2 linked regions of the Schizosaccharomyces pombe genome follow. The main gene of each other region encodes a partner of the protein of the gene in region 2 in a complex. Each region holds a gene or a part of one and is shown on either strand. Other genes may lie near its edges. The genes, in order: nem2 and nem1.

Region 1 (4,046 bases), 2.9 Mb from region 2:
CGATTGTTCAGCATCTATATGTAATACCGAGGTTCGCCCTGTGGAAAATAATACATTGGAATCTTGATTTTCTTTTTCAAAATTAACTGGAGAACCCTTTTCAGAAGTTTTTGTATGCGAATTGTAATTCCTGAAAAGTAGATTGGAATCTCGTGGAAAAGCTGCAGCATTAGAAATATCCAAATCAATAGAGGGCATATCAATATCCATAGACTCTTCAAGCCCCATCTTTGGATTAGCAGACGTATTGGGATAACGGTAATCAGTTTGCGGCGCGTGCCTCTGATTTATTGTCTCGTCCTCACTTATGTCAGTATCAATTGCTGCATTGTCAGAACTATATAAATCCAGTGTAGAAGGGATATCATCACCGTTCCTTGTAGGAGAACCTACAGGCTGTGAACTATGAAATAAATCATTTGGTATTGATCGATGTTCAAGGTTTTCTAAAGCATTCGCGTTTCGCAATTCTAGTAAATAATTTTCCTCATCTTCAAAACTCTCATAATTCTTTCCATAAGGAACGTTTTGCTCCGCTACCAAAAGCTTCTCCAAATCATCCTCATTTGGAATCGAATCCATATGAGTTGGAAATCCAAATTTTCAAATGGAACATGTAACAATTATGAATACTGAAAGACATCGTACATCCGAATTTTTTATAAGCAATTACCCCGTGTGCGTTGCAATGCATTATATGCTTGGAGAGTAAACAAAGCTTTCACTTTGGTTTTTTATGTGGTAATTTCAAGTAATTTTAAGAAAAGAAAACTGTTGAAGAATATTTATTTAATGCTTATTTTATTTTTCTGTCTGTTAATGTCTGATATGAATTTTAATGAAACTCATACCGTGTGCGGAGCCAAAAATTTGCAGTCCTATTGACTTCTTTGATTGTTCCCAATTAATTTGGATTTATGGTTAATGTGTAAAAAATCGTTGATGGAATTACGGCGGTTCCGATCGTGAATAGGATAATCGACTTACCCCAACACTCTAGAGTGCGACATTCCTGGCTCGGCTTTTTGGAGTAGAAGATACAAACGAAAATAGAAAATTGATCTATATGTCGTTCCTAAAACTTATGCTTCAATTCTGCAAACACTACTAAGTTTTTTCAGCTTGCAACACGTTAAGCTGCGTAACTTATTTCTGCTACTATTTTACTCGGTATAGGATTGCTGATTGAGTTCTTTATTTCTTTATTTATATATGATCTTTTCGCCAACGTGTTTAAACTAGGGGAGTTTAATTGCTAAATCGGCTAAAAAACTACAATGTAAAAACTTGGCCTATATATTTTTATCCAAACATAAGATTTTTTAAATACAGAATTGATATCTGAGCAGTCATTTAGTAAAAAGATGTCAGTAAAAGCTTTCTAATCCATTGGTCGGAACTTTTTAAGACTTTGATGTTTACCAAATAATGAACACAGTTAACACTCCCTCACTATATTTTGCATCGTTATACAGTATACCAACGTTTACTATCGTTTACTATAGCACATATCGAAGTAGACAGCTGCACACTATTGATATTATAGCTATCGGCGCGTAGCTTTGACATTGACTTTTAGAATCTGCCATCCGATTGATACTTGAATCAGCAAATTAGAAGGGCTGTTCTTTTATTGTTTTAGAATCATCGGCTTGTACTATTACTAATTGAATTAGTTCTTATGTTACGCACATATCTCATTCTGTGGTCTTCATAACGACTTCTTGTAATTGGTGTTGGATATTGTCCAATTATTGTTATCTCCAAAAAGCTTTCTTATATTCTGTTTTTCAAGTTCTTTATATCTTTTTATTCTTTTTCCTACGTATTGTTAAGAGTGAATAAAATGCCATGTCCTCTTATGTGCCCAACACCCTGTCCGTATATCACAACTTGTTAATTTTAGAGGCATCGTTTCGGAAAACATACCTACAGCTTCAAGTTCGTCGTCAAAAGTATATGGCTTTCTATGTCTCACTATTGGTGTGGAACTTTTACTTTGGCTATCGCGTCTTTTATCGCATCTCAAAATACTCGTTGATTGATTTGACTTACAAACTTTGTCTTTTATGCGGAATTGTTACACTTTTGCTCTTTTATTTTTCTGGATTGTATCGGACTACAATAGTATATCCATCACGTTATGTTCAACAAGTCAACAAAGCGATGAGGTTTTTTAACATTCGCCTTGTTATAACTCCTGTCCCGTGGTTCCAGGTGAGAAAGCCTTTGGATTGTGGTGTCCATCTTATATTATCAAGCAAACGATTTGACATATTGGTGATCGAAGGTTGGGAAGCTTTTCGTTCTTCATATTTTGCTTCAATACATAGAAAAAACAATAGCATACAGAGTAACGAGTCCTCTGAATCTCCTTCTTCTAAACAGAACTAGATTTACTTATACCCTTATCCTATTTATAAAGGATGCGATCGTTTATTTCCTTTTCAACGTTGTTAATGCTTTTCATGTTTATACTGTTCTAGTATTTGTCATTTTTCATAACGTAAATTTTGATTAAAATTTTCAGCTATTTTTTTTTTTGCTATCCGTTGTTGCTGGCGCCTTTCGCTATATTATTGATCAGTTATTGTCGTTATACTTTTATTACATACTTACCCGATTTGAATTTATTAGGATACTTTTAAGGACATTTCCTTTTATGTTGGGATATGAGATTGCTTTACAGACCCACTGAAATAGGATTTATCGTTGGATAATTAAAAAAAGGATGTTGATGATTCATTACACATCTTGATCATTTACTTGCCTCATCTTAATTGGAAGGGTTTAAATAAAGGCTTAATTGAAAGTTGCTGTCACTTAACTTCCTTATCTTGTTCTGTCAACTTAAACTATTATCTTTCATTCCCGACTTATAATCTTTCTTTTCTTTCTACATCACCTTTTTTTTTAAAAAATGGGTAAAAAGCGTTTTCGCATGTACATAAGCAAAACTTCTTCTCTTCTTATGTAGAGACTTCCTTTTTTTTTAATTTTCAACTTACTCATGCGGACTATACCGGACGTTCATTAGCTCTCTTGACGAGTTAGGTTTTCAAATAATTTAATATAAATGTAATCACTCCACCGTTAAAATTAACTATTTATAAGTGGTGCTAAAATATAAAAAAGTGCATATAGCTAACACGTTTACTCACTGTTGTGCTGACAATTTAATCAATGAAATAATTGGAGACAAGTGAACTCTTTCGAAACTCTCATAATCGTCAGAGTTTGACTTAAAATACATTGTATATTAGTAGTCTAAATACGAGTAATATTATGCAAACCTTCCTATTCCTTATCTAATGTCGACTACTCAGTTAAATTTTATCCCAGCCAATTGCCCTAGCTAAGACATTTGTTATTATTTTGGTATTATGTTTATTCTTTTTGAACTTTCTGGCTAATTGTTAAAGATTTTACCTTATGTGATCTATATTTTCTTACTGGCTCAACCATGCGTAACGCTCCAACAACCAGCACTTTGCTCCATCACAATGCCGTTGTTCTTAGAAGAACATGCTGAGGTAATTTTATTTTTAAGATGCCGAATTAACGCTTTTAGTATTTGAAAAGATATTTAGAACAGGCGTTGGAGCCAATGTATGTAATTTTTTTTGAGTTGCCAATTTGCGTGATTTTTTTTTTTACACGCTAAAAAATTGTTTATCAATATGCTAACGAAATGACTAGTTCTGATGCTGATGCAAGTGTTTTATCAGATTATGCTATGGCATTGTTAAGGCACGATTCTTCTGAAGAAGAAGTTCGCCAGTTATGCTACTCACAACTAGAAGATTTTTTGCGACAGGAGACAATTCCTTTTGTTGATAAAATTTTTGATGTTTTACGTGAAAAATCTTACTTGGAGGGTGCTTCAAATATGCCGTCAACCGGTATGGTGACTGAAGAAGTTTCAAGGTATTCGCCAACTTCATCAATGATCCCTGCCACCAACAGCATGGAAACCAATTTTAATAATTCTTTACCTGCTGTAGGAAAAACAAACACTTTTCCCTCTCAGGTGCCTAATATGTTTG
Region 2 (4,819 bases):
AGCGGTACTGGAGTTATCAGGTGATTTGGACATGCCATACAAAGAACGAAGATTTGAACGCCAGCAGCGATTGATGAGAGAAGCTGCAGCCAGGGGTCGAAATCAGGATGCTGGTGCTGATCTTGATGATGAAGATCCGGAATCAATGGGCATACCTGCAAATGTCGATCGTGAAGTTGAAGATCAAGATGATTTGGATTATTACGAGTCTCTCGATAAAAAATCAAAGATGGCTAAAAAGCTCCGTAAAGAAAATCACGATCTCGAACGTGATTTAATAAGAGCTTCAAGGCACCCAGAACTAATTGAATTAGGTGAAGGTGATAAGCGTGGAATTACTTTAGACATTGCTAAAAATAGAGGATTAACTCCCCGTCGACCTAAAGAAAATAGAAATCCTCGACTTAAAAAGCGTATGCGCTACGAAAAAGCTAAGAAGAAATTAGCCAGCAAAAAGGCTATTTACAAGGGCGCACCACAGGGCGGCTATGCTGGTGAGCAGACTGGTATTAAAGCTGGTTTAGTTAAAAGTATTAAACTTCAATAGAAGTGGTGGTTGGTATTGATTCAACTATTAATTCTGCATATATTAGGTTTTTTGAATTTTCGTGTTATTAGATACATATAATAATAATGTGGTTTTGGGTTATGTTATTTGCTAGAACAATGTCGTTAGCCTAGTGATATGATTTTAAAATGCTAAAAGTCTATGTAATCTGGTTTATAATCATTAAATCATTTATAATCCTTTGCCCATCCTGATTAAGTAAGTTGATTGTAATAACAGATTGAAAAGTAAAAAAAAAAGAATCAACACTTAAATAGAATAAACATGTTTATTAAAAGCTTGATTTAGAAAGAAATTTCATAAGTAAGTTGCCTTCGTAATTGCTGCGAACATCAGTGCAGAAACTAATCTTTCTTAAAACATGCGTTTAGTTTATTAGAAAGAATTTCTTACGATTAGGCTTACATTAATTGACATATTATCAGCAAAAAGAAACAAAAATTATTTAACTGGAATGGCCCAAATGCGGTCTAGGAAATATCCAAAAGGTACCCTTTTGAGGTTATAACAAAGAAGTTTGATGATGAGAAAGGAAAGGCACCCAAGATGTTAATGCAGTAGAAAAAGTTATTTTAGACCATCGTTACTGGTGATAAATAACGAGTAAATTACTCACGAAAAAAAAAAGGAATCATGAAAAGCACTTATTTTGCGAGACGAAGCCCCAAAAGATCTCGCACATCATGAACATATTGCAGTGCATGAAGAAAAGAAAGTAAGTTTAGTAAATCAACGTCAGAGGGGTCGCTAATCCAACCTTCAATAGGTATGGCATTTTCTTTATGAGCATTGTAACTGGCTGGAGAATTATCAATTATCATGATCCGTGAAAGATGAATATTACAAATGGAAATATCTTTAACGAAAGAACTATCGACAAGTGCACAGTGTTGACGGTAGTATCGTTTAGCAAATATTTTTTTATCACGCTCCAAATAATCAATTATTGGATCAGCATATGGCTGGACAGATGCTGTGAACAAAATAAGGCGAAACCATTGACTCACATTTGATAAAAAGTAGTCAAGATGAGGCCTTTTGTGAATATAGTAAAGGATTGGATGTTCACCAGGCACATGTACTTCAATTGGCTGTCCAGAAGTCGTTCGACTACCACGAGACACGGAATGGATAAGTGTTTCATCCAAATCTAATACAAGGGTCTTTCTCGGTAACTTGCTATTCAACAAAGGCCTCGGTATTTTGTCCGCACACAGAGTAATGTTTCTAATACGGAGACGGGAAGAAGAAGGAGATTTAAGAGGATCATTAACTATCGTAAAGGAGGAAGGCAGCTTAGAAATATTGTCATTAGCAGGCGGGGAAAACTGAGTTGATTGAGGTTGATGCGAATGTCCTGAACGATTGGAATTTGCTTTTCCCATTAGGGAGACCTCTTTGGGTTTCATAGGAGAAACACACACATCTTCTTCTGAATTCAATGAATTTGAAAAAGAATTGAAAGAAATTTCTTCTTCTGCAATAGAGGGCTGAAAACGAACATGATTTCCATTAGAAGAACTGCTATAAGAATTAGAAGATCTATGTCGTTTGAAAGATGAATAGGCAGGATCCTGGTGAGAGGATGGGTAAGAATAAGAAGAATAAAACCTAGGACGGCGGACACTTGGCTGAGGGGGAAGCATCTCTCGGCGTTTATACGATAATAATACAGGAAAAAAGACAAACCGGCATAGACCCCAAAAAAAACTTGCAAGGGTAAACTCTTTCTCTTCATTCAAAAAGTGGTACAAAAATACACGAGCGGAATGAACGAAAAACGTATAAATTCGTTTCAGGAACACACGAATCCAGTAGACGACAACACGCATAATGTTGGCATGCTTCGGTTTTTCATTCCTTGTAGGAACTTCCTTTTCCGTCGGTTTTGATGACAAACTGCTAAGGCTGGACGCCGAATAAGACGATCTACGACGATTATAATGCCTCAAAGTAGCTGATGAAGCTCGCCCCCGAGCATTAGCAAGTTTTTCTTTGTCAGCTTCATCGTCGTCTAAAGGAGTGGCAAGGATTGCTTTATTAATTTCATCTGATAGCCTAGCAATCGAATTCATTACAATTATTTTCTCTCTGCTGCGATTGCAAAGAATTAAAAAATTCACCAAAAGAAGCGATGCATACAAAGTATACAACGACCAAGCAGAGTCCTTTTAGTAAAAAAGAGTAATTAATTAAATATGTGTTAGTTAGACCTAAAATATGTGGGAAAACAAAGCCAGAATCACACGGTGGTACGATGCACAATATATATAATGATGAACTACAACCCAAATAATAACATTTTCATAAGACGTAATGCTTAAGAAGATATATCAAAACTACCTTAAAGTAACAAATTTAAATGTAAACAATACGGTGTAAATATTTATTAAGTTCGTAAAATGAAAGTTCATTGCAGAAGCTTTCATTTTTTTTAACTAATAAACTTTACTTGTATGGGTTTCTGTGCAAGAAAAATTAATTTTCATTTTATTAAAAGTCTAAATATTTGTAGAAGCTAGCTTAATTGCCATTCTTTTAATCAACGTTTTGCTAGAATGTAAGTCGCCGAGCGGTCTTTTTAGGTTTCTTGACATTACTTGAAAGATGCTTTTAAGTCTAAATATATTTAATGGTACGTTAAAATGTATCAAGCTCCTTTAGACGTTGCATACAATAAATTACTTACAAATAACAGGCTGAACTAACTTATTGACTTTACAAAATTATAAACATATCGATAAAATTGGTTAAGCGGACACTAAAGAGAATTCAAAACACTTGCTAATCTGAATATTGCACTCTTCCTCAGGTATCAGCACCTCCTTACGTATTTTTTATGAAAAGGGAAAACTGGGCTAATGCAACATTCGTAAACCAATTTATCTATTGCTAAATCATTCCAAAATCGTAAGCGTTTGCATTTCATTGTAAAGGAGATTGTTTTGTTGCTGTGTTAATCTACATGTAATTGATAGCAGCTTAGAGACTTCGGAGAAGAACTCCTCTCCTACTTGAACACTGTCTTATGACTAATTTAAGTATTACTTTTAAACTTCATCTTTTTCTAGTAAAGAGAAATTCTCAGTTAACATAAATCAATAAATTGTTCAATTGAAAGCATGTAGTCGGTAGGAGTTATATTTTATATAATTATATAATGGTTTAAAGATAGCACTTTAAATATATTATAGTATAACAATAAAGTCAAGTTCTTAACTATAGGTGAAATTACTCCAGCATTGCTTCCTTGAAACACTGATTACTTGCTTTGTCGCTAGGTTGCTCTTGTATTGTCGTTAGATGTGTTTTTGTAAACACAATTCAATCTAATTTTATTTTTCTAATTATCTTCATGTCAACATGGCCTATTGATGCAATTAGTAAAAAACCTAGTGTAAGTTTGGATTATGGAATTATAGGGGCGTGTCAACTTTTAAATCCATCTGGCTATCACAGAGCGGAGAAGGTTGAAAATAATGAATGGACTTTTGCTAGGTATGACTCCTATACGGGCGTCGAGCTTGTTGACTTGGACAAAAGATGGGATATCTTATCTTTAAATCCAAACTACAAACTCCCTAAATTAACTGAGCTTCCTGCTGAGGCCACCAATTCCACGCGTAAAGCGACTAGTAGTTCATTTGGTTTAAGTGTTTGCAGATATGTTCCGCGAAATTTATTTTCTACACTAGCGAAAGAGTCTCAATTAGCTTCTTCTGCTGAGTCTATATATAATCCACATATTTTAAATACTTTTTGCTTGGGTAAAACAGCGCCATCAGATAAAAACAGATACACCACAACTGAATGTCTTGCTTGTAGCAAGATTAGCAATGAAACTGCGGAAAATCTCCTCTTTTTATGCCTCTCGTCTCCATGGATTTTTCGTGCATCTCCGACATTACAAAATACTGCAACTTTTGAAGAATTCCCATTTTACTTGAATGTATCGGCTTTTGAGTTTGCTGAGGATCCAATATGGAAATTCTCACAACCAGTGAGACAATTGGTTTTCTCTAATGGAGAACCAAGTTTGCTCTTCGCATTATCGTCTTGTGAGTTGGTTATATTCCAGGTAACTTATGATTTAATGTTCTTAGATGAGCCAAATACACCTGGATGCTTGTCCGCTATACCTCTGCGTTTTTTGTACGCAGATGATGTTTATAATTCTGACTCGTTTGCTAACGTGTCTGTCCATCCCACCGATAATTCATTTTTTTTAACAACTTCATCATCTGGTAGATG

Evidence for each region.
Region 1: nem1 (region 2) and nem2 share a complex: the UniProt entries of both Schizosaccharomyces pombe proteins name them as parts of the nem1-spo7 complex.

The regions. Positions count from the first base shown.
Region 1 is NC_003423.3:486,379-490,424, forward strand, and holds nem2 (protein phosphatase regulator Nem2), read left to right. Parts: upstream 1-1,577; 5' UTR 1,578-1,851; coding exon 1,852-2,394; 3' UTR 2,395-3,222; downstream 3,223-4,046. Other genes in the region: Ctf18 RFC-like complex subunit Ctf18, read right to left, coding at 1-582; MTREC (exosome adaptor) complex RNA-binding subunit Rmn1, read left to right, coding at 3,504-3,533, 3,572-3,609, 3,700-4,046. UniProt on the Schizosaccharomyces pombe protein: Probable regulatory component of the nem1-spo7 complex which acts as a phosphatase and may be required for proper nuclear membrane morphology.
Region 2 is NC_003423.3:3,371,289-3,376,107, reverse strand, and holds nem1 (Nem1-Spo7 phosphatase complex catalytic subunit Nem1), read right to left. Parts: upstream 2,807-4,819; 5' UTR 2,644-2,806; coding exon 1,213-2,643; 3' UTR 556-1,212; downstream 1-555. Other genes in the region: U3 snoRNP-associated protein Utp3, read left to right, coding at 1-547; RNA polymerase I transcription factor subunit Rrn6, read left to right, coding at 3,924-4,819. UniProt on the Schizosaccharomyces pombe protein: Catalytic component of the nem1-spo7 complex which acts as a phosphatase and may be required for proper nuclear membrane morphology.